Linked DNA regions of Elephas maximus indicus. The protein of the gene in region 2 interacts with the protein of the main gene of each other region in a pairwise test. Links are inferred from orthologs where the notes say so. Each region holds a gene or a part of one and is shown on either strand. Other genes may lie near its edges.

What was found.
Region 1: the proteins of PGBD1 (region 2) and SCAND1 interact in binary tests that used the Homo sapiens proteins (3 or more experiments, as listed by UniProt). The two-hybrid records come from large-scale screens. The link is inferred for Elephas maximus indicus from reciprocal best matches to the Homo sapiens genes PGBD1 and SCAND1.
Region 3: the proteins of PGBD1 (region 2) and ZNF446 interact in binary tests that used the Homo sapiens proteins (3 or more experiments, as listed by UniProt). The two-hybrid records come from large-scale screens. The link is inferred for Elephas maximus indicus from reciprocal best matches to the Homo sapiens genes PGBD1 and ZNF446.
Region 4: the proteins of PGBD1 (region 2) and NR4A1 interact in binary tests that used the Homo sapiens proteins (3 or more experiments, as listed by UniProt). The two-hybrid records come from large-scale screens. The link is inferred for Elephas maximus indicus from reciprocal best matches to the Homo sapiens genes PGBD1 and NR4A1.

Annotation. Positions count from the first base shown.
Region 1 is NC_064843.1:33,573,670-33,581,222, reverse strand, and holds SCAND1 (SCAN domain-containing protein 1), read right to left. Parts: upstream 2,412-7,553; coding exon 1,863-2,411; 3' UTR 511-1,862; downstream 1-510. Other genes in the region: uncharacterized protein LOC126067332, read left to right, coding at 2,410-2,922. UniProt on the Homo sapiens protein: May regulate transcriptional activity.
Region 2 is NC_064819.1:79,717,036-79,724,608, reverse strand, and holds the start of PGBD1 (piggyBac transposable element-derived protein 1), read right to left. Parts: upstream 3,017-7,573; 5' UTR 24-3,016; coding exon 1-23.
Region 3 is NC_064829.1:87,338,894-87,346,366, forward strand, and holds the start of ZNF446 (zinc finger protein 446), read right to left. Parts: upstream 3,007-7,473; 5' UTR 2,072-3,006; exon of another isoform or gene 1,728-2,071; 5' UTR 1,596-1,727; intron 803-1,595; 5' UTR 802-802; coding exon 532-801; intron 1-531. Other genes in the region: ZNF324 (zinc finger protein 324A), read right to left, coding at 5,394-6,853. UniProt on the Homo sapiens protein: May be involved in transcriptional regulation.
Region 4 is NC_064822.1:107,447,444-107,455,259, reverse strand, and holds the start of NR4A1 (nuclear receptor subfamily 4 group A member 1), read right to left. Parts: upstream 3,015-7,816; 5' UTR 2,873-3,014; intron 2,695-2,872; exon of another isoform or gene 1,659-2,694; intron 1-1,658. UniProt on the Homo sapiens protein: Orphan nuclear receptor. Binds the NGFI-B response element (NBRE) 5'-AAAGGTCA-3'. Binds 9-cis-retinoic acid outside of its ligand-binding (NR LBD) domain.

The DNA.
Region 1 (7,553 bases), on a different chromosome or scaffold from region 2:
GAACTAATTCCATTTCATCCAGTGTGACTTTTGTCCTTAGGGAAGCAGGGAGGACTCTCCAAGTTCTGACCTCAGTGTGCTTCCCTAATTTAAAGCCATGTTGAGGGGCCTGATCCCCAAATCCTAGGTCAAGATGAACTAACCCAAGTTGGAGCACTGGAAACTGTTAATTGCAAACATTACTGTTACCATTTAGACACATGTGCACTACCTAAGTTTTGTTTTTTTCGTGAAAAATATCCACCTACAAAAATTGCCTTGGTTAAAAACAGTTCTGCTTTGACTAACCATTTTAAGTGATGAGTGTATGCAAGGTGGACCCTTGATGAGCCAACATTGCACTGTGGATACATACCTATGTTTACGCGCTGTTAGAACAGAAGGCGCTGTATATAGAAATGTAATGTTGCTTTGAAGCAATATTTGCAAAACATGCAAACTTCTGTATTTGGAAAAAATAAAACAGGTTTTTGTTGCTGTTTATCAGTTAAATGTTATTGAATTATAAAGATTTTCACTTTTTAATGTGCATTACTTTTCTGTATCACCTTATAAAACTCTGCTTTTACATTCTAAACAGATTTATTTTTTGCAGGGAGGCAGATGCAAGCTCAAGATCCCAAGAAAGTATGCAAATACTTTAAAATGACTTTCTAATATTCAAAAGCAGAATGCCCCACAACCAGCCTCTAGCTCAGTCTGGCTCATGCTTTGTGGTACTAGCTGCAGGATTATTAGATTGTGATTGTTGAAAGCAGTGCAGGGATTGGTCTGGCCTTCATGGTATTAAGAGATGGCACCCATTGCAACTAGACCCTTTTGGGACTAGTCCAACCTGCCCATAGACCCTATTTAACTTCATCCTGGGTGGGCAGAAGCCTTAGGGAACAAATAAGAATAGTTTTTAAGATTTCAGAGCAGAGCTTCCCAATTACTCACCAAATTCCTTCTTCCCTTTCTAAATAATCACACGTATTTTAAAAAAGGGAGCCAGTTGTAGAGACACTCATTAAAATAAGTAGCTCCGGCAATTTAAATAACCCACTGGTTCACACCAGTTTTGGTTCTTAAATCTTACCAGAGTTTAAAATTTGCAAGGAAGGAGGTGAGGGAGTCTGGAGGCACAAAGCAACTGTCCAGAGTCTGGGGTGGGGTGGGGGGGCGGGGCTGGGAAAAAAACACTTCACATTTAAATAGCCCAATAGCACGGGCCTTCTGGGAAGCCTTTGTCCAAAGGGTAGAACAGAATAAGTTGGTGCCTGTATTGGCATAAAGATATGGCAGATAACCATTTAACAGCCAACTACTTTGCCCGCAGGATTCCACAGCTACCTCTGAGGCAGGACCTATCACTCTCATCTATCTTTGCAGATGGGAAAACAAAATTAGATTCTAGCTTCTAAGAGGTAGAGGTGGAAATGGAACCCAGGCAGCGGGACTCCAGAGCCTGGTAACTCTGATTATGTAGCCTCCCACTAAACAAAGGAAAGGCAAAAGAGACCCTTTAGAGCACAGGAAAAAAACTTCCAGATACGGTGGAGGGATCGACCCAGATCCAGCCCACACGTAAGAGTCCCACAAAAGCCAACAATGGCCCAGGGAATAAGAAGCAAAGGCCTTACCCTCCTAGGCTCCCGACTTGGTTTTGTCATCAGCCAGAAAGGAGGTGGGAAATAGGATTGGGAACATAAACTCAGTAAAGGGCGAACGAAAGAGGCACATCAGACTACAGGAGCTGCCAAAACACGTTTTTCATTAACGCGGAGTGGGGAGCCAGGCTCAGGGCCCCGGATCCGATCGTGGCCCCAGGCCACACAGAGCGGCGCAGCCGTCCTCAGCTCAGCCGCCCTCAGCTCCGCCGCTCAGCCCGTGATGCGCACATCGGTGCGGCGGCCCCGCCGCCGGGCCCGTGCTGCCTCGGGCAGGATGGCGAGCAGCTGCTCCTGCACCAGCATCTCCACGATCTGCTCCTTGGTGCGGATGTCGGGCCGCAGCCACTGGCGGGAAAGCTCCCGCAGCTGCCGGAACGCCTCCCGCGGGCCCGCCGCGTCCTGGTATCGGAACTGCCGGAAGCGCTGGCGGAACGTCTCGGGGCCGGGTCGGGAGCATCCAGGGCTCGGGGGCGAGCGCGGAGCGGCGTCGACCAGAGGAGCAAAGCCCAGGGGCGCGGGCCCAGCGGGCAGCTCCAGGGCTGCGGAAGCTGCCTCGGGAGGCGTAGGGATCGCCTCGGGGACCGCGGCGTGGGGGCTGGAGGGTTCGGGGACAGGCGGTGAGGCCTCTGGAATCGAAAAGGAACCTGCGGAGTTACGTTCCGGGTCCGACGTCGGGCCGGCTCCATCCTGTTCCTCCGGAGGCGCTGCGGGGCTCCCAGACGGCCCGGTGGTCGCCAAGCTCTCCTCCGTTGCTGCCATGACTCCGGCTCCGCACGTCACTCTGTCCGGCAGCTATGGGCTCAGCACTGCGTCTGCGCAGGGCTGGGGCGGGGGGAGGGGAGGAACGTTCCCGACTAAAGGGCAGGGGCCGCGCGACCCTAGACAGAGGCGGACGGGGGACGGCCTGGCAGCGCAGGAAGCCTACCTGCACCAGCGAGGCGCCACGAGTGGCCGGAAGCGGAAGTCTTCAGGCTTCTCTATGATCAGGTCGGCGCTCGAGAGCTGGGAAGCCACGTCGCTGCTCGAGGGAGAGTCGCCCCCTAGCGACTTACTTCAGGAAGACGCTGAGGTCGTGGAGCCGCAAGACAATCTAAGCGTGTGGGAACCTGAGTCCGATAATGGCTCTTCGGAGCACCCGTTTCAAGAGGAGGAAGAAAAGGAGGAGGAGGCGGGAAAGGAGGAAGAGAAAGTAAAGAAGGAGCACCCCGGAGGTGACGAGGTGTACTCCTCGACTGGGCTCCTTAGCTTCCTTGACCACTTCATCTTTCAGGTGACCCGCCCCTGGCCCCAAGGGCGCTCCTCCTCACTGGACCCTAGTTAGGATGATAGGGAGCCATGGGTTCTCCGGGGCTGGCACCTGGCTCGGGTAAAGCGGTGCAGCACAGCAGGCGGGGCGCTGGGGAGGGCCTGGCTCCGGGGCGGCTGTGCGGTTTCGAGTCTGGACCTCCCCACTCACCGGCATGCATCCTTCACTCCTAAATCCTTCAACCATCAAACAAGGAGGGCGTGACACCTGTCTCAATGCGAGAATGACAGATACAACGTGTGTAAGATTCTCAACACACTGCGTGTCCTCTGCGGGCTTGGCTTGGACTGTAAATGCCTTGCCCCACGGCGTGGCCAACAGCCTCATGTGTGTACTGAGCGCTTGAAATGTAGTTCGACCCAATTGAGATGTGTTGTAATGTAAAAGCCTGGATTTCAAAGATTTAGTACGAAAACATAATATAAAATGTATGAATAAGTTTATATTGATTACAGGTTGAAGTTATAGTATTTTGCATATATTAGGTCAAATAAAAAACGTTATTAAAATTAATTTCACCTGTTTCTTTTTGCTTTTGGCTACTACAAAATTTCTGTTCCCCAGCACTGAGCAGACTTAAGGCTAAGATGCCTTGGTACAGTACCCATTGCAGAGTTTATTCGCTTTGTGGCCTCAGGCAGTAATAGCACCTACCTCTCAGAGTTGTTGGATTAACTGAGTAAGCACTTGGAAAGAAAGGGCTTTTTGAGTGTTTGGTAGACTGCTATCTCTGAGCTACAGTTTTCTTATCTGTAAAATGTGGATGTAATAGAATTTACCTCATAAAGGATACGCTGAGAATTCAGTGAGATGAGGCAGGTAAAAAGCACCTAGCTCTGAAAACCCTTCAGTAAATGGTATTCTGTTTTTTTTTTTTTTTTAATATTTTATTTGTTATTGTGCTTTAGGTGAAAGTTTACAGCTCAAGTTAATTTTCATACAAAAATTTATACACATATTGTTATGTAACTAGTTGAAATCCCTGTAATGTGACAGCACACTCCCCCTTTCCACCCTGGGTTTCCCATGTCCATCCAACCAGCTCCTGTCCATTCGTGCCTTCTCATCCTGCCTCTGGACAGGAGCCACCCGTTTGGTCTCCTGTATCTGCTTGGACTAAGAAGCATACTCTTCACAAGTATTATTTTCTGTTTTATAGTCCGGTCTCCTCTTTGTCTGAAGAGTGGGCTTGGGGAGTGGTTTTAGTTCTGGGTTAACAGAGCATCCGAGGGCCCTGGCTTCGAGGGTTCCTCCAGTCTCAGACCCTTAACTCTGGTCTTTTTACTAGAATTTGAGTTCTGCTCCACACTTTTCTCCTGCTCTGTCAGGGACTTTCTATTGTGTTTCCTGTCAGGGTGGTTGTTGGTGGTAACCAGGTACTACCTAGTTCTTCTGGTCTCAGGTTGATGGAGTCTCTGGTTTATGTGGCCCTTTTGTCTCTTGGGCTAATATTTTCCCTATGTCTTTGGTTTTCTTCATTCTCCTCTGGTCTAAGTGGATTGGGATCAATTGATACATCTCAGATGGCTGTTCACAAACTTTTAAGGCTCCAGACACCACTCACCGAGGTGGGATGCAGAACATTTTAATAAACTTTGTCATGCCAGTTGACCTAGATGTCCCCTGAAACTATGGTCCTCAGACCCCAACCCCTGCTACTCTGTCCCTCGAATGTTTGGTTGTGTTCAGGAAACTTCTTTGCTTTGGTCCGGTTCTGCTGATTTCCCCTGTATTGTGTGTTGTCCCTCACTTCACCTAAGGTAATTCTTGTCTACTATCTAGTTAGTGAATCCCCTTCTCCCTTCCTCCCCACCCTTGTAACCATCAAAGAATGTTTTCTTGTGTTTCAACCTTGTCTTGAGTTCTTATAATAGTGGTCTCATACAATATTTGTCCTATTGTGACTGACTACTTTTACTCAGCATAATGCCTTCTAGATTCATCCATGTAGTGATAAGTTTTGCGGATTCATCATTGTTCTTTATTGTTGTGTAGTATTCCATTGTGTGTGTACCATAATTTGTTTATCCATTCGTCTGTTGATGGGCACCTAGGTTGTTTCCATCTTTTTGCTGTTGTGAACAGTGCTGCAGTGAACACGGGTATGCATATACCTAGTCATGTGATGACTCTTATTTCTCTAGGATGTATTCCAAGGAGTGTGGTTGCTGGGTCATATCATTCTATTTCTAGATTTTTTAGGAAGCGCCAAATCTATTTCCAAAGTGGTTGTACCATTTTATATTCCCACCAGCAGTGCAAAGTGTTCCAGTCTCTCCATAACCTCCCCAACATTTATTATTTTGTGTTTTTGGATTAGGGCTAGCCTTGTTAGGGTGAGATGGTATCTCATTGTAGTTTTGATTTGCATTTCTCTTGTATTCTGTTTGACAGCCAACTCACAAACAGGATTTGAATCCCCGTTTCACAGATTGAGAAACAAGCCCAGAGAAGGACAGGGGCCTATCTGAAAAGCTCTGTATAACCCTGGAAGCTCTTTGCAGTATGCGTAGACATGTTTAACAGCCAACACACCAGTGACCCTCCCATAGGATGTGCTCCCTCGGATAGGTAGAAGTCAGTCCTCAGTTTCCACAGCCTGAAAACCTTGAAAATCATCATACCAAAACCCAACCAAACTCATTGTCATTGATTCTGACCCCTAGCAACCCTATGGGACACAGTAGAACTGCCCCATAGGGTTTCCAAGGCTGTAAATCTTTATGGGAGCAGACTACCACATCTTTCTCCCATGGGGCGACTGGTAGGTTCAAACCACCAACCTTTCAGTTAGCAGCCAAGCACTTAACCACTGTGCCACCAGGGCTCCTGAAAGTTATCAAAATAGGCTTTTAATTATTTTAAAATCAGCTATTGACATATAAAAGTTAGGTGATTTCACATACAAGTCTGGATTTCCTGCTTTCCTTGAAAAAGTGGAAGAGCTGGCCACACTGGACCTACATTCCTGCAGGTCAACAATCAGATGGAGCAGAGTAGAGTTTCCTTCCTATAGACAAGATACTGTGTTCCAGTTGGCCTCAATCCCCACCACTTCCTATTGTTCCCTGAAACAGAATGCTTACATTTATTATTGCTCTGAGGTTGTTGTTTTTCCTCACAGCTGATATTTTTGTTTTCTCAGAGGTGGTGGCTTAGTTATCTAGTGCTGCTGTAACAAAAATACCACAAATGGGTGGTTTAAAGAACAGAAATTTATTGTCTCACAGCTATGGAGGCTAGATGTCCAAAGCAGGACATCAGCATCCCCGCCATGTCAGTAGCCTTGGGTATTCGTTGGTGTTTCTTGGCATTCCTTAGCTTGTGGACAGTTACTTACATGGTCTGTTCCCCTGTGTGTGTGTGTGTGTGTGTGTCGATTCTGCTCTTTTTATAAGACACCACTCAAAAGGGATTAGATTTAGGATTTACCCTACTCCCCAATGATTTCATTAACATAACAAAAGAAAACCCCTATTTCCAAACAGGATCATATTTACACATACTTGGAAAGAAAGGGATTAGGATTTCAGTATATATTTTGGGGAGACACAATTCAATCCATAACAGGTGGGAAAATACAGGGCTAATTTTTTTTTTTTAATTAACTTTTATTGAGCTTCAAGTGAACATTTACAAGTCAAGTCAAACTGTCACATATAAGTTTATATACACCTTACTCCGTACTCCCACTTGCTGTCCCCCTAATGAGTCGGCCCTTCGAGTCTCTCCTTTCGTGACAATTTTGCCAGCTTCCAACTCTCTCTACCCTCCCATCCCCCCTCCAGACAGGAGATGCCAACACAGTCTCAAGTGTCCACCTGATACAAATAGCTCACTCTTCATCAGCATCTCTCTCCTACCCACTGTCCAGTCCCTTCCATGTATGATGAGTTGTCTTTGGGAATGGTTCCTGTCCTGGGCCAACAGAAGGTTTGGGGACCATGACCGCCGGGATTCCTCTAGTCTCAGTCAGACCATTAAGTATGGTCTTTTTGTGAGAATTTGGGGTCTGCATCCCACTGATCTCCTGCTCCCTCAGGAGTTCTCTGTTGTGCTCCCTGTCAGGGCAGTCATCGGTTGTGGCCGACTAATGTTTTTTATATCTATTGACTTTAAACCTTTACTTCCCTTGCCTGGTCCTTAGGCAGTTGGGTTTGCTGAGCAAACCAACAGTCCTATTCCCTGTGTGTTAACAGGCAGTCGGTGTTCAGTGCAAAGGGAGCCCACCAACTGCTTCTGCAAGGGTGAGGAGGCATGGGAGGCTTCACAGGGGAGGGGGCCTTTAAGCTGAGACTCAAGAAGAAAAAGGTTGGAGTTAGGGAGCATTCCAGGTAGAAGGCACTGTGCCTGACTGTACAAAGGCACAAGTGAGTGGTAGCAAAACTTTGTGGAAGCTGCAGGCTAGACAGGGTAGTGGCTGAGGTCTGAGGAGGGGTGAGAGAGATGGTTGGAAGGTTGGTGGTGGCCAAGTCATAAACAGCCTAGAATTCCATGTTGAAAAATTTAGTCCGTGTCCTCTTGTGAAAAAGAATGAACTCTTGTGGTACTTGGAATCATGGAATGTTAGATCTCTAGTCCATTTCTTCATCTCT
Region 2 (7,573 bases):
GCAGGGCCTGAAGCTTCATACATGTTAAGCTTAGATGCTAGAACAGGGATCACTTGACTGTGGTTTACAGTTCAGAAATGTTTTTCTAAATGTCTATCTGAGGCATGAGAATGTGTCAGTAACATGAAAATTACAAGAGCTTCAAAACGCTACACCACATGGTAATATTTTTGTCCCCACAGTAGGTCATGTTCAAAAGCTGAGCCCGTTTGCCTATCTTTATCAGTGAAATTAATCAGAAGTACATCTTCAACCCTGAGGGGGTCCAGCCAAGAGCTAAAGGATGTGAAATATGAGGGAAGAAGGGCTTATTAGACTTTTAAGAGTGCTTGAGCAGTTTACATTTTAGCTAGGAAAGGGAGATAACTTTACTCATGAAGGAGCCAGGTGGCTACCTGCATGACAGATACTATATTCTCAAAGTCATCTATCTCTGTGTATCTCTCACTGAATATTCCACCTCAAATGTAGGTACAGTAGACTATTTCCAAAGATGACTGAAATTATAACGTCTACCCCCAAATATCTTTTGTAATGAGATTTTGCCACTGTTCACATCAAAAGGTGAGTCTATTTCTCCTTCCCTTGAATCTGTGCTGGATTATGACTTATTTCCACCAATAAAATGTGACAAAAATGACATTATAAGAGGAAGTGGCCTTATAACTCTTGGCACACTGCCATGAGACTGCCATACTGTGAGGAAGCCCAAGCTAGTCATGCAGAGTAGTCATGTGGATGAGAGCCAAGGTGCCCCAGTCAATACCCAGGAGAACCTAGTCCCCAGCTGAGCCACCAGCTGAATGCAGGCATAGAAGTAACTCTAGGTGAGACCACAGCAGTGGAACTGCCCAATTAACCCACAGAATCAGGAGAAATAATAATAAGTTTTTATTTATTTTTTATGTTCTTATGCAACAATACATGACTGGAACAGTAGACATGCTTCAAGTTATTTTGTTCTTTCTCCTCACTTTCTCTTTTTGTGATCTCATCAATCACAATTTCAGTACATTGCCATCTCAAGAACACTCAAATCTATGTCTAGCTCCAACTTGTCTTTCACACTCCAGACCCACATCTCGAACTGCCAGCGGGATACCTCCAGCTATAGGCCTCTCCTGCCCCACAATTTCAACATACCCCCAAACTAGAGTCCTTTCAAAGCTGCACTTGCTTTGTATTTCTCCATTTTTATTGATGTCACTACCATCTTCCATGCTCTCAGGCTTGAAACCGGTTCCTATACCCAATCACTCTGAGTCTAGTCAATTCTTTCTCCCAAAATGCCTCTTGTAGCCATTCCTCCTTTTTATTCTCTTATTATTATCATTTACATTCACTATTACAATAATTTTTTGTGTGATATTACTGACTTACCCCACAATCAATTGTTAAATGAAAACCAAACCAGTTGCCATCCAGTCAATTCCAACCCATAGCAACCCATGTATGTCAGAACAGAACTGTGCTCAACAACGTTTTCAACAGCTCATTTTTCAGAAGCAGATCGCCAGGCCTTGCTTCCAGGTGCCTCTGGGTGGACTCAAACCTTAACCCTTCAACCTTTCTACTAGCAGCCCAGCATCTGAGCCACCCATAAACTCCAAAACCAGTTGCCAGGGAGTTTAATTCTGACTCATGGCAACCCTATGGTGTCAGAATAAAACTGCACTCGATTACTATTTTCTAAATCCCAATTCTGACTGTATTCAACAATGCCTCAAGGGGGGAAAAAAAAAAGGTTTCAATTGCTCCTCACTGAACTAACTAAATTCAAACTCTCTAGAACGCAATTTTAGGCATCCCAGGATGTGATCTTTACTGGGTTTTGCTGGTTTGTTTGTCACTCCATAAAAATTTACTGAACACCTCACTGTTTTCCATGCATAAGGCTAACCCTGGAATAAAAACAGAATCCCTACCTTCAAGGAAACCAAAGTCTTCCCAAACTCCTCATGCCACTACTGTGGGGACTACTCAGTTTTCTCCACCTGCCTTGTAGTTTATGGCCAGGACTGCTCTTCTGACAGGGTAAATTCCCAAGGCCCCGAGCAAATGCCACCTCCTCCGTAAAACTTTTCCTAGCCACCTATTCTGCCCTCTAAGCCACAATGGTGGAGATGGGATGTTCCCATGGAAAAGTAAGCCCAGTCCTAACGCACCTCTCATTTCCTCTCGTATTCCTGACATCCCCCTCTTTTCCCGACTGCCAAGGAGGAATAAGCTTACTTGAGGACCGGGGTTTATCTCTGCATGGCCTCTACATGCCCGACACGTACCTGGTATTCAACAAATATCGGTGAACTTCTTGGTGAGCGCACACAGACGTATACGAGATGCCAGCGGCCAAGACACTCTAGGCGGCCCGGAATGTATCTCACTGAGATTGCACCCCAGGATCTAGCGCAGAGTCTGGCACACCATGGACACTCAATAATGCTTGTCTAATTGCTGGTTAACGGACCAGAGGTTCAGCGAAAGTGTACAACAAAGATATGCCCGGCCTCGCGAAAGGCTCCCGCGCTGCCCGCGGCGCCGCTGGGTCCGGAGTCCCCACACACCTGTAGGTGCAGGCCGGCCTCTGGGAGCCAGGGCCGCGGCGCCTCGCAGAGCCGGCGGGTCTCGCCAGCACTTCCAGCAGCCGCGGGCCAGGGGGCCGAGGGCTTTTCCTCGCACCGCCGGGGTGCCCCCGGAGACGCCCCGGGCCCCGGCCCGCCGTCCCGCCTCGCAGGCCCAGCCCCGCGCGGGCGGCGGAGTCGCGGCGTCCAGCGGGTCCCGCGCCGCTCTATGAGCGCAGCCGCTCGTCTCTCTGGTGCGCCTGGCGCGCGGGCAGGAGGCTACCAGGGCAGTCTGGCCCGGTCAGGGTCCGCCTCGCACCCTCTCTCCCACTCCTTCGGGCGCCCGCTGACTCTCCGAAGGTTCCCCGGGGCCCCTTCACACTAGAGTGAGAACGATTCGAAATCCTGACAGAGCAAGGCTTGCAGCTGACGGCCGGGACCTGGGAGGCAGACGCTGGTGGGCGGAAGGGGCCGGGAGAGACGCAACGCACTTCCCGCCTCGCCCAGGCCTCCCTCAGCCCCCAGAACCCAGCCCCCGGGGGTCGGACAAGCAGCTCACCTCGTTTATGTAAATCATTTCAGTTAAAAGCTCTTTATTTTAAACCAACAAGGTGGTAAAGACAAAACCGAGTCTCTGTTTGGGGTCCTCACGGGCTAGTAGTGTGGGACACGAATCAGTAATCAATTAAAATACAGCAAGCAGCAAAAATTAATTTAAAAAAATTTTACGGGTTGTGTATGTACAATAAAAACTCAACTAACATGGAGATAATGAAAAATAAATGTCCCACTCACCAGAGTTAACTATTTTCTGTGTATATCTTTCGAGGACCCTACCTACCACAAAGTAAACAAAGAAAACCAAACCCGTTATCAAGCTGATTCCTACTTACAGAGACCCTATAAAAAAAAAAAAATAGTACTCATAAATATTTGTTTAGTGAATAAGTATATATCCGTGCATTTTAAAATATGGGATCACTGTATAATTTTGCACCTTAGATTTCTCAGTTAAGATAGCTTAGAGATCTTTCCATAGCAACTTATCCTTTATGAGCTAAATAGTATTCTATTGTATGGCTGTACCATAATTTACTTAACTGTGCCTACTGAGGTAAAAAAAAAAAAAAAAGTATACTGAGGTATACTTATGTTATTTTCTTTATAAACAATGCTGGAGAGAACAAAATTGAATATATTCTTTTATATTTCTAGGACACATTCCACACATTGGAACTGGATGGTCAAAGGACATAAAAAAACACTCCCCCAAAGGACATGTGCACATAAAATTTTGGCACACAGTGCTCCTATTTCAACTTTAAGGGCATTGAGGTTTAAAGGATCCCAAAAACCCAAACCGGAGCTGCGGAGTCTGTTGATTTCTGCTCACGGTGACCCTATAGAGTAGAACTGCCCCATAGGGTTCCCAGGAGCAGTGGTGAATTTGAACTGCCCACCTTTTGGTTAGCAGCCCAGCTCTTAACCATTGCGCCAACAAACCAAAAACCAAACCAAACCCACTGCCGTTGAGTGGATTCCTACTCATAGCGACCCTATAGGACAGAGTAGAACTGCACCACAGAGTTTCCAAGGCACACCTGATGGATCTGAACTGCCAGCCCCTTGGTTAGGAGCGGTAGCACTTAACTGCTATGCCACCAGGGTTCCTTAAAAGCAAAAGGAGAAGCGAAATAGAAAAATCAGCAAAGGAGATGAACATGGCTGTTCACAAAATCAGAAACACTGCCCAGACCTGCCCATTCTCACAATTGTTGTTATGCTTGAGCCCATTGTTGCAGCCACTGTGTCAAACCATCTCATCGAGGGTCTTCCTCTTTTGCACTGACCCTCTACTTTGCCAAGCATGATGTCCTTCTCCAGGGACTGATTTGTCTTGATAACATGTCCAAAGTATGTGAGACATAGTCTCGCCATCTTTGCTGCTAAGGAGCACTCTGACTGTATTTCTGCCAGGACAGATTTGTTCCTTCTTTTGGCAGCCGGTGGAGTATTCAGTATTCTTCGCCAACACCACAGATTGAAGGCATCAGTTCTTTTTCAGTCTTCCTCATTCATGGTCCAGCTTTGGCTTGCACATGAGGCGACTGAAAACACCATGGCTTGGATCAGGCATACCTTGGTCTTCAAGGTGACATCTCTGTTTTTCAACACTTTAAAGAATTCTTTTGCAGCACATTTGCCCAATGCAAAGTGTCTTCTGATTTCTTAACTGCTGCTTCCATTGGTATTGATTGTGGATCCAAGTAAAATGAAATCCTTGACAACTTTAATCTTTTCTCCATTTATCATGATGTTGCTTATTGGTCCAGTTGTGAGGGTTTTTGTTTTCTTTATGTTGAGATGTAATCCATACTGAAGGCTGTGCTCTTTAATCTTCATCAGTAAGTGCTTCGAGTCCTCCTCACTTTCAACAAGCAAGGTTGTGTCATCTGCATATTCCAAATATTACAGGTTGTTAATGAGTTTTCCACGAATCCTGATGCCCCGTTTTTCTTCATATAGTCCAGCTTTTTGGATTATTTGCTCAGTATACAGATTGAATAGGTATGGTGAAAAGATACAACCTTGACGCACACCTTTCCTGATTTTAAACCACACAGTATCCCCTTGTTCTATTTAATCAACTGCCTCTTGATCTATGTACAGGTTCCTCATGAGGACAATTAAGTGTTCTGGAAGTCTCATTCTTTGCAATGTTATCCATAATTTTTTATGATCCACACAGTCGAATGCCTTTGCATAGTCAATAAAACACAGATAAACATCTTTCTGGTATTCTCTGCTTTCAGCCAGGATCTATCTGACATCAGCAAGGATATCCCTGGTTTCATGTCATCTTCTGAATCTGGCTTGAATTTCTGACAGTCCCCTGTCGATATACTGCTGCAGCTGCTTTTGAATTATCTTCAGCAAAATTTTACTTGTGTATGATATTAACGATATTGTTCCACAGTCTCCGCATTCGGTTGGATTACCTTTCTTGGGAACAGGCATAATTGTGGATCTCTTCCAGTCGGTTGGCCAAGTAGCTGTCTTCCATTCTTGGCATAAACTAAAACAAACTGAGGTAGAAAAACTAAATAAACCTATTATAAAAGAAGAGGCTGAAGAGGTAATAAAAAAGATTTCCAACAACAAAAAAAAAAAACCTAAGCCTGGATGGCTTCACTGGACAATTCTACCAAACTTCCAGAGAAAACACCAATAACACTAAAGGTATGTCAGAGTATAGAAAAGGAAGGAATACTCCCGAACTCATTCTATGAAAGCAGCATAACCCTGATATCAAAGCCAGGCAAAGACACCACTAAAAAAAGAAAATTACAGACCAATATCCCTCATGAACATAGATGCACAAATCCTCAACAAAATTCTAGGCAATAGAATTCATCAGCATTTCAAAAAAATAATTCAATATGTCCCAGTGGGATTCATATCAGGTATGCAGGGATGGTTCAGTATTAGAAAAACAATGCCATCCATCATGTAAATAAAACAAAAGATAAGAACCACATCATCTTATAATTATTGCAGAAAAGGCCTTTGACAAAGTCCAACACCCATTCCTGACAAAAACTTTCTGCAAAATAGAAGGCAAATTCCTTGACATAATAAAGGGCATTTATACAAAGCCAACAGCCAACATCATTCTAAAGGGAGAGAAACTGAAAGAAATCCCTTTGAGAATGGGAACCAGACAAGGGTGCCGTTTATCACCACTCTTACACAACATTGTACTGGAGGTTGTACTCAGAGCAATAAGGCAAGAAAAAGAAATAAAGGGAATCCAAACTGGTAAGGAAGAAGTAATAGCATCCCTATTCACAGATGATATGATCTTATGTACAGAAAACCCCAAAGAATCCACAAGAAAACTACTGGAACTAATAGAAGATTTCAGCAAAGTATCAGGATACAAGATAAACATACCAAAATCAAAGACAACTTCAAAAAGGAAATCACCAAATCAGTACCATTTACAATAGCTTCAAGAAGATAAAGTAGTTAGGAATAAATAACCAGAGACATAAAAGAAACTACAAAACACTATTGCAAGAAATCAAAAGAGACCTATATAAGTAGCAAAACATACCATGCTCACGGATAGGAAGATGCAACATTATGAAAATGTCAATTCTGCCCAAAGCTATCTACAGATACAACGCAACCTCGATCCAAATCCCAAGGGCATTTTTTTTGACTAGATGGAGAAACAAATCACTAACTTTACATGGAAACGGAAGAGGCCCTGGATAAGTAAAGCATTACTGAAGAAGAACAAAGTGGGAGACCTCACACTCTCTGATTTTAGAATCTATTATACTGCCACAGTAGTGAAAAGAGCCTGGTACTGGTACAAAAACAGACACATAGACCAATGGAACAGAATTGAGAACCCAGATGTAAATCCATCCACCTAGCAGCAGCTGATATTTGACAAAGTCCCAAAGTCCATTAATTGAGGGAAAAACAGTCTCTTTAACAAATGGTGCTGGTACAACTGGATATCCATCTGTAAAAAATGAAAAAGGCCCATACCTCACACCATACACAAAAACTAATTCAAAATGAATCAAAGACCTAAATATAAAATCTAAAACAATAAAGATCATGGAAGAGAAAATAGGGACAATGCAAGGAGCCCTAATACATGGCATAAATAGTATGCAAACCATAACTAACAATGCACAGACACCAGAAGAGAAACTAGATAACTGGGAGCTCCTAAAAGTCAAACACTCATGCTCATTGAAAGACTTCATCAAAAGAGTAAAAAGAGGACCTACATATTGGGAAAAAATTTTGGACTAGAACATATCTGATAAGCGTCTAATCTCTAAAATTTACAAGATACTGTAACACCTCAACAACAAAAAAATAAATAATCCAATTAAAAAATGGGCAAAGGATATGAACAGACACAAAAGAAGACATTCAGGCGGCTAACAGACACATGAAGAAATGTTCACAATCGTTAGCCATTACAG
Region 3 (7,473 bases), on a different chromosome or scaffold from region 2:
AATTTCTGTTTGTTAAGGCCATCCACTTGTGGTATTTCTGTTATAGCAGCACTACAGACACTGGCCCCTGGCCCTGCCAGCCTGGAATGGAGGGCACTGGACCTTGACCTGGACCTGCTACCCCCTTCAGGCATGTTGTATTTCGAGTTCCCAGACTACTGCACCCCCAAAGTTGGCAAGATGATTGCAGAGAACTGGCACCCATATAGCATCACTGACCTGGTTTTCACCTACTAAGCCCACAATCAGCAGCATGTGCACACCCCCAAATTAGCTGTTTACATACAAGAATGCTATTTTCCCAAAAGAGAAAATCCTCTTCTGGTTCCTTTCAGTTAGCGAAAACAGGTACTAATGTAGGTCTTTTGTAAAAACGAAGTGGTATAAGGCAAACTTTTGGATGGGAGACGTACCTGTAATTAGATTTAAAATTTTACAGAATCCTGAATATTCAATTAACTCAAACAAACAACCCCTAACAGTAACTAATTCAACACATGCATCAACAATTACTTGTTCATCTAATTTCACCTTAAGGCATTCTGGAACAGCACACTCCATAAACTCCTCTAAAGTTTTTTGTTGCTTATTCGGAACGCTTCTGACACTTTCTTCAATCTTCTTTGTCTTCTTGCTTTGCACTGCATTGTACTCATCCGTATGGTGACGCTTCAGGTGTCTCTCTAAATTCGCTGCATGGTCTCCAACCATATCTGTGTTGCAAATTTTACACGTGCTTTTATTTTCAATCTTTTCATACTTGAAAAATTCTCGACATGGGTTTTCTCTGGTTCGTCCCATACTAGAATTCAAGGGCAAAAAATAATATTAACATTAGAGCATATTTTATAGTCACCATATTACATTTAAAAAGGTCTGGTGGCGCAGTCATTAAAGTGGTCAGCTTCTAAGTGTCTGGTTGGCAGCTCAAATCTACCAGCTGCTGTGTAGGAGAAAGATGTGGCAGTCTGCTTCCGTAAAGATGACAGCCTTGGAAACCCTATGGGGATAGTTCTACTGTCCTATAGACTCGCTATAAGTCTAAACCCATCTGACGGCAAGCAGTTTTGTTTTTATCACGTTACGTTAAAAATGAGTATTAAACTTTGATGACATAAAAAGAATGCATAAATACATTTGTAGAAATGAATCAGAGCCGGTACATATTACAACGGTTCTAGTCACGAGCTGTCAGTATATTAGAAAAAACGCAATAACTTTGTTTTTACATTCACAGGGTTTGCTAACTTCCTACATTTAAAGTCCCACTTTACAACATTCTCGTATGTTTATTCGGCACCTTTTGAAGAAAATCTCACTTAATAGTGACGCCATCAAGTTGTTTTCAGTGAAATAATCCTCTATCAGAACGGAAACGTTTTCTTTCCACTAGTTGCTTATGTTTGTTAACATTTAAATTTGCGAGATAAATACCCAGTTCAAACATATAAGTACAATGTGTGATAGTACATTTAAATCGACATTGGATACAAGAAAGGAACCATTAATAAATCACATGGCATTTTCTATTTCTTGAATTTAAATATCACACTTAAAAAATGTGAATAATGTACGTTTAAAATGTTTACACTCACCTGGCAAATTTCCGTTCACACAAAACTCTGTTCAGAACTCGATGCAATTTAACCAGCTCTTTCAGAATCCTAACGAGTTCTCAATCGTCGAGCGTTTCTCACATCTTCATCAGGTAGGCACAGCTCGCTTTACTGTGAGAAGTCAAGCATGGACCGGAAATTAAGCTCGGAGGAGGTTTGTTCAGCTCAGGCCCAACCTCCGGCCTGTCCGAGGGGCCCTTGACCTCTGCTGTCTGTCCCTTGCGGGCGCCCAAAAAGGGAAAGGAGGGAGGAGGTCTTCACGGAGGCGGGGGCCCAGGTACGGGTATACAGAATGGTGTTCATGGGAGGCAGGAACGGCCTGGACTACGTTCGATGGTGCGGACGCGCACGGCACGTCGGGACAGAAACTGACGCTCAAGGCCGAGCGTAGGGGACGGCCGGGTCCCGAAAGTAGGCCCCGCGCCGCTCCAGGGGGTGGGAAAGGCCACGCTCACCTTTACCGCGGCGCCGGTGCCCCGTAGGTAACTTCCGGGAAATGGCGCCGCGCCAGCTCCGCACGCCATTCTCCACGCGCTTGCGTAGAACGCACCGACTCGCCCCTCCCACGCGTTGCCCTGGCTAATCAGGGGCCTACCCCAAAGGCACCGTCCTCTCCCTTCGGACTACGTTTCCCTTGAGCCTCAGCAAAAAAGCGGAGTCCCAGTCTCGACCAGTGGGAGCTCATTTCCAGAGGCTTCTTATGCCTGAGAGGTGTCCCATTTACGATGGGGCCCGAAGGGTCACAAAGTGCTTGCGGCCCACCCCCTCAGCGGTCGCTTTTCGCTCAAACCCGAACCCCAGGACTTACAAACTGTCAAGTTGGACAGTACTTTGGCATATCGCGCATGTGCACAACGGGTCCGGTTCCTACTGGCAGGCGAGGTGACGGACGAGGAGGCTGACGTCCTGACCAGTCAGAACTGGCGCTTCGCCCGAGCCATTCCCCTAGAGCTCTCCGTGAGGCTTCTTCCTTGCAGCCCAGCGGTCCACTTAGTAACTGCTAGTGCTTTTTCTGCAGCCTCTAGTTGTTTCCACGGCAACGGCTAGAGTCGCCCCGGCCCCTAGAGAGGCCGGAAGTGGCGGTTCCGCCGCTACGTCTAGTTAGACTGAGACGAGCGTGTAAGTGGGCTTGGGAATGGCTAGGCTCGGGTCGTCAGTCCTGATCCGTAGACTTCCTCCGCCCTGACATTTGACCTCCACTGAGCACCCTGCGGACGTGCGGGGTAACAAGGACTCCGGTAGGCGCCAGTTTACTGAAGAGGAAACTGCTTCAACAGTTACATAAGGCCCTCACTGTGTGCCATGATTCTTCAGACCATTTTTAATAAAATTGATATTATAAGATTATAGTAAAAAATCAATATGGGCTTATTGTAGTGACTTTGGAAAACAGAAAAGTTCAAAAGTAATCTCACAACCCACTTTGCCACTCTTCAAACTCGGATGCTTTTCTGTGCTGTTTTTTACCCCTTAAACTAGTATATTCATATCTAATAAACATTTACGTACTAATTTCAGTATTTCCAGTAAACATGACATGATAGGCAGCACAAGCCTGTATATCTTTAGAAGGAAAGCTTAGAGACAAAAGCATTTGGAAAAGAAATTTACTTGCAAAGAGGGGCAACCTGCAGAATGCAGCAGGTATTTAAAGAAACCAAACAAAAATTGCACAATTACCAAAGTGACTGAGATTGCATTAGCCCATTGGTGGCAGGAAAGTAGCACACTTGTCCCATGATTATCATACCTTCAGCTATCCGAAGTAGAGTGCAGGCTTTTGCCTAGACTTAGGGGAGGTGCTCAACGTTTCATTTATTTTGGGGACCAGAACTAGAAGGGTGACCTGTTATTTTTGTCATTAGGTGCCTTTGAGTCAGTTCTGACTCTTAGTGACCCTGTGTACAACAGAACAAAACCCTAGCCAGTCCTGGACATCCTCATGTTCATTGTCATGCTTGAGTGCATTGTTGCAGCTGCTGTGTCAGTCCATCTCATTGAGGGTCTTCCTGTTATTTGCAGACCCTCTACCAAGCATGATCTCCCAGGGACTGTTTCCTCCTGATAACATGTCTGAAGTATGTGAGATGAAGTCTTGTCATCCTCCCTTCTTAGGAACATTTTGGCTGTACTTCTTCCAAGACAGATTTGTTTGTTCTTTTGGAAGTCCCTGGTATATTTAGTATTCCTCACCAACATCACAACTCAAAGGCGTCAATTCTTCTTCGGCCTTATTCATTTTCCAGCTTTCGCATGCATTATGAGGTGATTGAAAACACCATGGCTTGGGTCAGGCAAACCTTTAGTCCTTAAAGTGACATCTTTGCTTTCTAACTCTTTAAAGAGGTCTTTTGGAGCAGATTTACCCAGTGCAATATGTCAGTTGATTTCCTGACTGCTGCTTCCATGGGCATTGATTGTGGATCCAAGTAAAATGAAATTGTTGAAAACTTCAATTTTTTTCCCATTTATCATGATGTTTATTGGTCTAGTTGTGAGGATTTTTGTTTTATGTTGAGGTGTAATCCATACTTAAGGTTGTAGTCTTTGATCTTCAGCAGTAAGTGCTTCAAGTTCTCCTTGCTTTCCGCAAGCAAGGTTGTATCATCTGCGTATCACAGGTTAATGAGTCTTCCTCCAGTTCTGATGCCCCATTCTTCTTCATATAGTCAAACTTCTCATTTTATTTGCTTAGCATACAGACTGAATAAATATGGTGAAAGGATACAACCCTGATGCACACCTTTCCTGACTCTAAACCATGCAGTATTTTTAGTTCATCTCAATAGGCAATGTAACTGTTTAAGTCTGACTGTGGGACAGGGTCAGTTTTGCTTCTCCACATCAAGTGCTGAACTGTGACTTATTTAGCCAACCCTAAATTGTTTCCATTTTGGTGTCCTCTGATAATCCCATGATGAATTCCACTGATTGGAAGCTCTGTGCCTGTGTGTGGGTGGGACTTGTCAACCTTGAGCTTCTCTGTAGCATTATCAGCATACGCCCTTTGGAAGGGAAAGTACCCCAGTGGGAGTATCCTTACGTTTTTTCTCTGAGACTGTGTAGAATCCCCAGAGATGAATCTTCCACTGCACACCACGTAGGGAAAGATCAAGTGTTCTAATTATTGTTTATTTGCTTCTCATGTCTCTCCCAGTCTTCTTTGTCGTAGGTCCCCTGGCTTCTCATTCCATAAGTGCTGGACTTTGGTTCTCAAGCCGCTGGAATTCTGCAGTATAAGCCTGCTTAGACAACCCTCCATTTCCTCCAGTGCCAATGCTGTATTTGGCTTTCTCTAAATTAGTGACAATATCCCCATCTGCTTCTGACTTCAAAATGGTGTTACTATTAGCCCCTTTTCCACCATCCGCACACTTGTGGGTTTATGTTTTAAGCCTTTTCTTTTCTGGTTTTAGTGTTGTTTCTGAGCCAAGACAGACGAAATGTGTCCAGTCTGCTATCTTGACCCAGAAAGCCCAGGGATGATTTCCAGTCTCCTCCTCCCTTCACCCTTGCCCTCATCCTAGCCCCAACATGCCCTTTCCAGCTCTGACAGCAAATTCCCGGTTGCCCTGTCCTTCTGGTGACTTCTGTGCAGTGTTGGGGTTGGAGCAGGTGTGATGCACTCTGGCTAAGCAGCAAATCCTGTCTCCACGTGCACACGAAAGCTTTCCTGCGTCCCTGGCTCGCAGGCACAGGGCTCCTCCCCTGTGTGGATCTGTAGTCCTTTGCCTGGGGTTCCCTTCCCTGCGTTCATGTTAGGTCGGAGTTGCGATCTCAGGCCTCCATGGGCTTTGGGCCTGCGGCTGGGCCTGAGGGGGCAGTGTGATCGGTTTCCTTCCCTTGCGCACCCTCCGATAATATGGATAGTGGCTTGGGTTGAGGGGGCCGTCCAGTGCTTGCCCTGGGCCGCCGCCCAGCTTTCTCGCCGGTGTGGATCCTCTGGTGGTGGAAGAGGGCCGGGCGCTCGCGGAAGGCGCGGCCGCACTGCGAGCACACGAAAGGCTTCTCGCCAGTGTGGATGCGGCGGTGGCTGATGAGCACGGCGCCCTTAGAGAAGGCCTTGCCGCAGTCCCCACAGCGGAAGGGCCGCTCGCCGGTGTGCAGCAGCTGGTGCTGCGTGAGGTTGGAGCTGTGGCTGAAGGCTCGTCCGCACTGAGCACAGGAGAAGGGCTTCTCGCCCGTGTGCACACGCTGGTGCTTGAAGAGTGAGGAGCCCTGACTGAAGGCAGCGCCGCAGAGCGCACAGGCGTATGGCTTCTCACCCGTGTGCGTGCGCTCGTGCTGGATCAGGTGTGAGTTCCGGCAGAAGCGGCGGCCGCACTGCGCGCAGGCGTAGGGCCGGCCGCCCGCGTGAATCTTACGGTGCTGGCTGAGGTTGGAGCCGTGGCTGAAGGCCTTCCCGCATTCGCCACAGCGGAAAGCCTTCTCGGCTGTGTGGATTCGCTGGTGGCGTACCAGCGATGAGCTGTGCCGAAAGGCCTTGCCGCAGGCCGGGCACGCGTAGGGCGTCTCGCCACTGTGGATGCGCTGGTGCTGCGTCAGGTGCGACGTCTGGCTGAAGGCTTTGCCGCACTGGGCGCATTCGTATGGCCGCTCCCCCGTGTGGGTGCGCAGGTGCTTGAGCAAGTCAGAGCTCTTGACGAACACCTTGTTGCAGGCCCTGCATTCGAAGGGCTTATCTCCAGGGAGGAGGCAAGCGCCAGTGTGGAGGGCCTCCCTCAGCTCGTCCCTAGCAGGGGCCACCTGGCCAGTGGGAAGTGCCTGAGGGTTGCTGGTCAGAATTGCCATTTCTTCCTCCCTGAATGTGGGAAGATCCCCCCTAGCGTGAACTGGGACACAAGGGAGGGCACTTCCAGGAGCCTCCCTCATATGTGACTTCTGCTGCTCCTGCACCCTCAGCTGCTTTCCCGGCACTGGGCAGTCTGTGAGGGCCCTTCCCCTGGGCAGGCTGCCCTCTGCAGCCCTCAGGGGTGCAGTCAGCCTCAAGCTGATGCTCTCCTCCCCGCTGCCGGAGCCCGACAGGAGCCTCTCCCAATAGATCATGGACACCCCAGTGGATTTTCTCTCCCCAGATGGAAAGGCACCCTGCTGTCCCTCCAGGATTTTCCCCAGGTCACAGGCACCAGGAGAGGGAAGGACTCTGGGAGGCGTTGTCAGAGGGGGGCTACCCAGGAAGGCCCCAAGCAATGCTGCTTTTCCGTAAACATCCCCATCATCTGCTGGACACCGCGGACCTGAAAGCAGAGAAATGGTGGTTATCTGGGTCATCCCAGCCAGGAGGCGGAGGCCAGGGCAGGTAGAACACACAGGGCAAAGTGGGCACCCTGGGAGGTAGGTGTGTTAACAGGCAGAAAAGCACGGGCCCAGGCCTGACCAGGCTGAGAAAAGCATCTGCTGTGACAAGCATGCCACCCATGGCATCTGGGACCCCCATAGTTAAGACACTAGCCCTGAAGCCCAGAATGCAGGGGCAGGGGCAGAGTTGGCCCTGGCCCCAACCGAGAAGGACACTAGCCATTGAGCAGCTGCTGCAGGCCAGGTCCGGTCACCACTGGAGATGGGTGGTGCACTACCTCATGGTACCCAGACTTTGTGTTTGCTGTTCCCAAAGACAGTGCTACAAGTGTCCTGGTCAAGGCCGTGTCCTCTGTGCCTGGAACATGTGTGGCCACAACAAGTATTCAAGAAATACTGATGAACAAATACATGAGGGAATGAAGCAATGACCCACAGATACAGCAACAAGACTGGGAAGGTTTGAGGCTGTATAGCCCTCTTGGGCTCTTAACAAGCCTCCCCATGGCCTGGGAGTGACCTGTGTCTGAACCCAGCTTTGGTACCCTCAGCTTGACCT
Region 4 (7,816 bases), on a different chromosome or scaffold from region 2:
GGGGGAGAGTGTCTGGGACATCTGGGAGGGCTTCCAACCTCAAACAAAAAGCAAAATCAGGCTTCAGGCCTGTCGCAGCCCACAGGCTACACCTGCTTCCAGAATGACACTATCGTTCTCCCATACCCCCCAAACGACTCTGTAGTTAGGCCTTAAGGGTCTCCTCACAGCTGGGGAAGAAGACAGCAGGGCAGGGAGGGCCAAATACCCTCGAACCCCAGTCAGGCCCAACCAGAGAAGAACCCAGGTCTTCCCTGCCTGTGTCTGAGGACAGGGCCCAGAGTGTGGCACCCAATGTTCAGAAAGTGATTCATTACACCTTAGAACAGGTATCTGATACAATCTCATGTCCCAGATTAAAACTCCTTCCTCAACACTCATTCCAAAAGAATGAGCAAACCAAGACACCTGCAGCTCAGGAGGTCGTAGTGGGGAGAGGGACACAGAAAGAACCAAAGACATTTACAAACAGCCCTGTGCCTCCGAGGGTGGGCCAAGAGCTGAGTGAGCTCGGAGGAGAAAGTGATGCCCACAAAACGGGGAGGGAGCATCAGGCTGCCCCAGCTCTGGCTCCCCTCCCCTCCCCCCCGGCCACTCCCCCTCTCCCCCGCACCTGCACCTTACCTCCACTCACTGTGTTTCAGTCACGTGAGCTTTCTTCCCCACCTCAGGGCCTTTGTTCCCTCTGCCCAGAAAGTCACTGCCCGGATGCCTGCAAGGCTGGCTCCTCATCCATCAGGTTTCTATTCCCCTTGTCACCTCCTTAAAGAGCCCCCCCATACCCATCACACTATTCTGTTTTTAGAACATAAGTAAGGACCCTGCCTGACGCCACCACGGCCAGTCTTCAGTCTCTAAAACAGTGCTCAGCACTAAGTGTTCCGTAAGTATTGTGGAATGGGGAGGGGTACACCACCCTCCTGAGAGGAGAGTCAGCGAGCTGTCTGGAAGGAGACGGGGAGGACATTTGAGCTAAGGAGCCAGACAGCTCCCAAAACTGCCTCTTCCCCTTTGGGGCAGATCAGAGGATCTTTCCTACACTGAGTCACAGCCCAGACTCTAAAGGCCTCACAGCCCTGGATCCCAGCTCTACCTCCTGCATGAGCCCACAGAAGACCTTCTTCTCCTTCCTACCAAGTATTTGAGTCTTTTATCTAAACGCTCCTGTGCAACAGTATATGGTTGACAGACCTTCTGCAGCCCTGGTGGCCTCCTGGGCACAACCTCTGCCTATGTCCCCACCCTGAAATGGACATATACTAACAGTAATAACAGTCACTAATACTTGTCAAACACCATGCTCCATACATTGTGAAGCGCTTCACACGCATGTTCTCATTTCAGCCTCGCAGCACTATGAGGAAGGATGTATGCACATTTACCAACGAGGAAACAAAGGCACAGAAAGGTTACACAACTTGCCTGAGATCACACAGCTAGGAACTGGCAATGCTGGGATTAGAACCCAGGTAGCCTGACCAGGGAGCCCAGGGCGGGGTATCACCATGCCCCCTGGGACCTGTGCAGTGGGTAGAGGCCTCAGATTGCACAGAACAGTGTGACAGACCCCACCCACTGGGCAGCTGAGCCAGGCCTCTCACCAAGCCTGACTCCTGAGATGACTTTCTGAACTCCAGCCCAGGCCTGTAAACACTTACCATTAGTCACATTCATCTTGTCAGTTTTGGCCCATCCTTCTGCCCTATAGCCCACATTTGAAATCTTCATTTTATGGGTGGTGCAGCGGTTAAGTGTTGGGCTGCTAATCAAAAGGTCACCAGCTGTTCTGCGGGATAAAAATGTGGCAGTCTGCTTCTTTAAAGATTTCAGCCTTGGAAACCCTATGGGACAGTTCGATTCTAACCTATAGAGTCACTATGAGTCGGAATCGAGTCAATGGCAATGGGTTTGGTTTTTTGGTACACTTGTCATTCCTCCCAGCTCTGGGTCAGAACAAAAAGTCAACTGGCTTCCCCTTTAAGTCTTCATCCCAGTGACTGATCTAAGTGTTCCCTTGGAATGTGTCTGGGACCATGCTTTGTGGCCACCACTTGAGCCCCTCTCCAGGGTGATATCTGTCCCCCAAACCATCAGCACCTTTTAAGTATAACAGTTGTGAATCTACCTGCCCCTGCCCATTCTTCATTTTCCCGACAGGCCCATAATACTAACCCCAAAACGCAGACCAGCACTTCACTGTCAACAAGACATGCCACCTCTGCAGCATTTCTGTGTCCACCAGTCCACTTATCAAAAATGGGCGCATAAAAGGAGAATCTGTTGAAGTCAAGGAACGGAGCTCTCCCCTCAACACCCCCCGAGGAGGTGCCGCTCTCCCCAAGTATGAGGTCGCTGTTGGGAAAGAGGGTGCTGCGGCAGAAAAATACGCTGTCATGGTAGATGTGGCTCCTGAGTCCCAACCCTAGCCCCGCTCCTGACCCCATAAGACCCTCTCTGGGCTCGATTTCCAGGCTCAGACCCACTCAGGGGCTGCGCAGGGCAATTCCGGGCCCTCCCGCCCCGACCTCCTGGCAGCCGAGCTCCGGAGCTCCTGGAACTCGTTCCCCGCAGCCGGCGGGGATATGGAAGGAATTTCTCGGGCCTGGCCACCTCCAGCGCCCCTCGCGGGCCAAACCCCACCCTTGGCCGGCTGGGAGAGAAAGGGTTGGCCGTCGCACTTGGGGGCTGACTCTGAGCCAGCAGGTTCCGCTGGGAATCCAGTCCCCCCCTCCCCCCACTCTCCAGTTTCCAAGCAAGACTCCCAGCGTGGCCCTGAGCCCATTGCAGTGCATCCGCGAAGACCCCGTAGACCCCGTTCCTCCCCGGGCCTCCCCCGGGGACCACCGTGCTCCTCCCCAGGCTGCCCCCTCACCTGGCAGGGAGTGCTTGCCTCGCCTCTCCACCCTAGCTTTCCGGGGTCGCGCATCAGCAGACGGGGAGCTGCTCTGCACCGCAGCGGCGCCCATACCCGGAGGCCGGGGGGCGCGGGCGCCGCGTGGGGGCCCCCGCTAGTTCCGCCGCCGCCGGCTCGCGCTCCTGCCGCCGCAAGGCTGCGGCTCGGCGCCCCCCGCCCCCAGGAAGCCCCCGGCCCAGCAGTTCCGGCCGCTGCCGTGCCCCCCGCCCCCGCAGCCCGCGGCCGCCCGCGTAGCCATCCCAGCCTCGGCGCGCCTCCCCCGGCGGGCAGGCGGGGACCGTGACGCGCGCCCATTGACGTCTCCGGAATCCCGGCGGCGGCGGCCGACGCAGCCTCATCAATGGGGCTAAAAATAGCGGCGCCCGGAATAGCCGCGAGCGCCCCGCCCCGCGGCACCCCCCCTCCCCAACACACACAGGCTGCACACACTGTTACATAACCCGCCTCGCTGGGGCCGGGGCAGAGGGGCTGTTTTTCACAGGGTTCTGAGGCCTTGCTAACACCTAGCGAGGCAGGAACCCGGAGCCAGGTTATAAATAAACTTACCCGGGGCTTCCCCCGAGGAAGAAGTGGAAAAAGAGGCCCGGAGAGGCTTCGCGGCGGCCCAAAGTCTCACAGCAGTTAGGCTGGCTTTAGATGACAGGGCCCCTGACTGAGCCCTGGGCACCCACACCAGCCTTTCTTGGCCTGTATGCCACCCCAAGGGCAAAGAAGCCAGGTAAGAAGAGTGCCCAGCTCCCAGACAAGAAGGCAGATTAGACAGAAAGAGGACTTCTTGAGAGAGTGAAATTTCCCCTGAAGAGAAGCAGTCCCAGACTTGAGAATGCGTGCAAGGGCAAAGCACACGTGATGGAGTCACAGACCTGGCTTCTCTAGATCATACGCATACCACTGTGTGACCTGGGACAAGTCACTTAACCTCTCTGAGCCTCTGTTTCCTTACCTATAAAATGAGGATGATAAGACTGTCTCCATCTTGGTTGTTTCTTTTCCTTTTTTTTTTGTTTATTGGAAGATTAAGCAGCTGTGAAGTTGCCCTGTACACAGTAGAATGAATTTCTCCTCCTTGCTCTCCCTTAGAAGTCCGACTTCTCCAATCCTCAGGAGTGCTTAGTGCAGGAAATACACAGTGGCCAGGAAGCCCTGAGAGACCCACCCTCCTCTGACTGTAGTCTCTGTCACAGATTGAATTATGTCCCCCCAAAAAGGTGTGTATCAATTTGGCTGGGCCGTGATTCCTAGTATTGTGTGAGTTTTCCTATATGTTGTAATCCTGCCTCTATGATGTTAATAAGGGAGGATGGGTGGAAGTTGTGTTAGTAAGGCTGTATACTCTACAAGACTGGATTGTGTCTTGAGGCAATCTCTTAAGATATAAAAGAAAGAAGGGAGCAGAGAGACAAGGGGACCTCATACCACCAAAAAAGCTGTACCAGGAGCAGAGCATGTCCTTTGGACCCGGGGTCCCCGCACGAAGAAGCTCCTAGTCTGGGGGAAGATAGATGAGAAGGCCGACAGAGAGACAAAGCCTTCCCCTGGAGCTGACACCCTGAATTCGTACTTTTAGCCTACTTTACTGTGAGAAAATAAACTCTTTGTTAAAGTCATCCACTTGTGGTATTTCTGTTTTAGCAGCACTAGATGACTAAGACAGTCTCTAAGTGCAGGCTTCCCCAATAAGAACCTTCCTGGTGGTGGGGGTGCTTGGAAGATTTCTCTGTCCCACCTGACTGGGGCATTCTTTGGATATGGGAGAACTACCTTGTCCTGAGCAAATCCTTCTTCCCCAACAGCTGCCTGCTCAGGTGTATCTGTGGGGAGGGGGTCGCCAGGCCAAGGCCTGAGCAGTGGCGCTTGGGTCCGGCTGGGTGGGGTTGGGGGTCACAGCTCCTGTATGCTGGGCGGCAGGGCCATTGGAGAACAGTCATTAGCGAGGACCCAGTCCTGTGCTCTGCTACACCAGCCACCGGTCCCTGCTCACTTTTGGAGTCACTTTAAACTATGAACACGAGATCTAATCCCCAGCACCCAGGCCAGGCCCCACGCAGCAAAGAATGCCTTCTGCACTCTCCAAAGGAGGCCCCACACCCCACTCAGCCCTCATTCCAGGGGCCACATTCTTCTCCCCACCCCCATACCCACCCCCACAAATCCTTTTCTGGACCTACCCTAAACTCCTGGTGCAACTCAGAAGCCCCTTTCTCTCATTCCTCATAATAATTCCAAGAACCTCTGGTTTGTTCCAAATCACCTCCTCAGAACCTTCACATTTTTTTCCCAGATACAAGTGTTAGGCCAATTTACAGATAAAGAGAGGCTTCAAAAAAAATAGCTGAGCGGGGGAAGCCAGGGGACCAGCTTTTTTCCACCCTCCACACTCCCCTCCTTCCTGCCTCAGCAGCTGCTTCCTAATGGGTTTCTTAAACCACTACCCCACCCCCTCTTTTTCTTTTCCCAGAAATCTAACTTTTGAAATACATTCTAAAATATTTGCCTGTGTAGGAGAAATACATTTATTTGGACAGGAAGGACTAAGGAAAAAAAAAAGGGCTCAGTTACCAGTTTTTCCATGAAGCCTTCCAGCCCACAGAGGTCTCTCCCTTCTATAAATACCTTAGCACAACTTGCCTTTATTTTAAACTCCCCTGCTTTATAATCAAAACATATATTAAAACATGCATGGATAAAACACACGCACTGTGTGGCTTGTGGTGCCAGCATGAGGTGGTGAAAGAAGCATAGACTCAAGAGGCTTGGGATCCACATTGGCTCAAACTCTTCCCAGCTGTGTGACTTCAAGGAAGTTACTCGCCCTCTCTGGGCTTCTCATCTGAAACACAAGTGTGATAACATACGTATCTCGAAGGGTTGTCATAAGTAATGCATCTTTGATAATAGACATAAAACATGTAGCAAGGAGTTGGGCACATAGTGGCAGGGCTGCCGTTTCCACAGAGGAGGACTTGCGGAGGCCATCTGGTGGGAAGGCAGGGCTGGGGAACCTGTCTTGAAGCTGCACATGCAAAGTGCCTACCATGGCTTTGCCCAGCTGGTATGTTTATGTAGGGAAGCTGCGGGGCAGGGAGGGCTGTGCAGTTGGGGGTTATGCCACCCCTTAGTGCCATTACTGATGTACAGTAAATTCCAGGCCCCTTGTTGTCTTCTGGAGTCCCTAGGTGGTTAACGCTCTCAGCTACTAACTGAAAGGTTGGAGGTTCAAGTCTACCCAAAGGTGCTTCGGAAAAAAGGCCTGAAAATCTACTTCAGAAAAAACAGCCACCGAAAATCCTATGGGGTATAGTTCTACTGTGACACATGTGGGATTGTCATGACTCATAATTGACCCCACAGCAACTGGTTTGTGGCTTTGCTGTCTTCTTGACCCAGGTCACTCAGCTAGTGACCAAGCCAGGACCACAGCCCAGATCTTCTAACTCCCAAACCAGTGCTGTTTCTACCCACCATCTTGTTCCTTCATGCCTAGCCCTTCCTCTTTCTACACAAATCCCAGGAACCATTGTTGTGTGCCACTGAGCCAATTAGAACTCATAGCGACCCTATAGGACAGAGTAGAACTTCCCCATAGGGTTTCCAAGGCTGTAAGCATTTTGGAAGCAGACTGCCACATCTTTCTCCCGCTGAGTGGCGGGTGGGTTTGAACCACTCACCTTTCAGTTAGCAGCCGAACGCTTAACCACTGTGCCACCAAGGCTCCTTCAGGAACCCCTACACAGTCCATACTGCAGATGAGGAAGCTGAGGAAAGAGAAGCTACCTGAATAGTTTGGGGGGGGGGGTTGGGGGGGCAGGCACTTTGGCCAGTGTTGTCCTGTCTTCTAGGAAATTCCTCAGGGAGGTGCTGTGGCAGAAAGCTGGTTCCTAGTCTGATGGGGAGGCAAGAAACAAGAATAGGTATTAAAATATTGTCAGAAGACCAGGAAGCAGCCTCTAAGAGGTCTCAAGCCAGCACTGCAGTGGAATCTAGAGAGCTAGTCTGAGAGGCCTCACTGGAGGAGGAGAACATGGGGGCACAGTGTGCAGGGAGGGAAAGGACCAGGCAGGGCAGAGAGAAGGAAGGGCATACCACAGTGGAGAAGGGCTGGCCCCAAAGCTGATAGGTATTAGGGGGCAAGGTAGGGATTCTGGAGATGAGGAGCTGTGAGCTGCAGGACCCAGGACAAAAAGTCAGACCCTTAGTGGTCTTCACTATATGCCCCTCAATCTTACATTATCAGAAACCCTTGATCCAACCCCACTGAGTCAGGGAGATACCATTCCTCCCCACCCACTCCCTCCCACTGCAGCAGGGAGGAGCCAAAGGATGTCAAAGGGGTTCTTGTAGGTCCAGAAAGGGCTCCCCTTCCCAGGCCCTGACCCTCAATGAGGAGAGGGGCTGTGGAGGGGATTCCCTTATGGGTCCCTTCTTCATCTTGAGGATCAAGAACTACCTGGGTGGGGTCCCCCCACCACTTCCCAGGTTTGGGAGCAATTAGAGGACAGAAAAATGGGGGCACAAAGGCAGGGCCTTCCTGGGGCTGTCCCAGAGAGCAGGGGCTGTCCAGGGACACCACCCACTGCCGTAGATTCCGAACCGTAGCGATCCCATAGTCTTTCCAAGGCCACATCTTGCTCCCCCCTGGAGCCTCTGGTGGTTTCCAACCCCAGATTTTTCAGTTAGGCGTCAAGCACTTTAACCACTGTGCCACCAGGGCCCCTTACCTGTTAACCGTCCGTCGAGTCAATTATGGGGTTAAAAACCAAAATCAAACCCATTGCCATTCCAGTCTTCGATTCCACTCATAGTGATCCTATAGGGCAGAGTAGAATTGCCCCATAGGGTTTCCAAGGCTGATCTTTATGGAAGCAGACTGCCGCATCGTCCCCCTCTTCCCGCCCCGCCCGT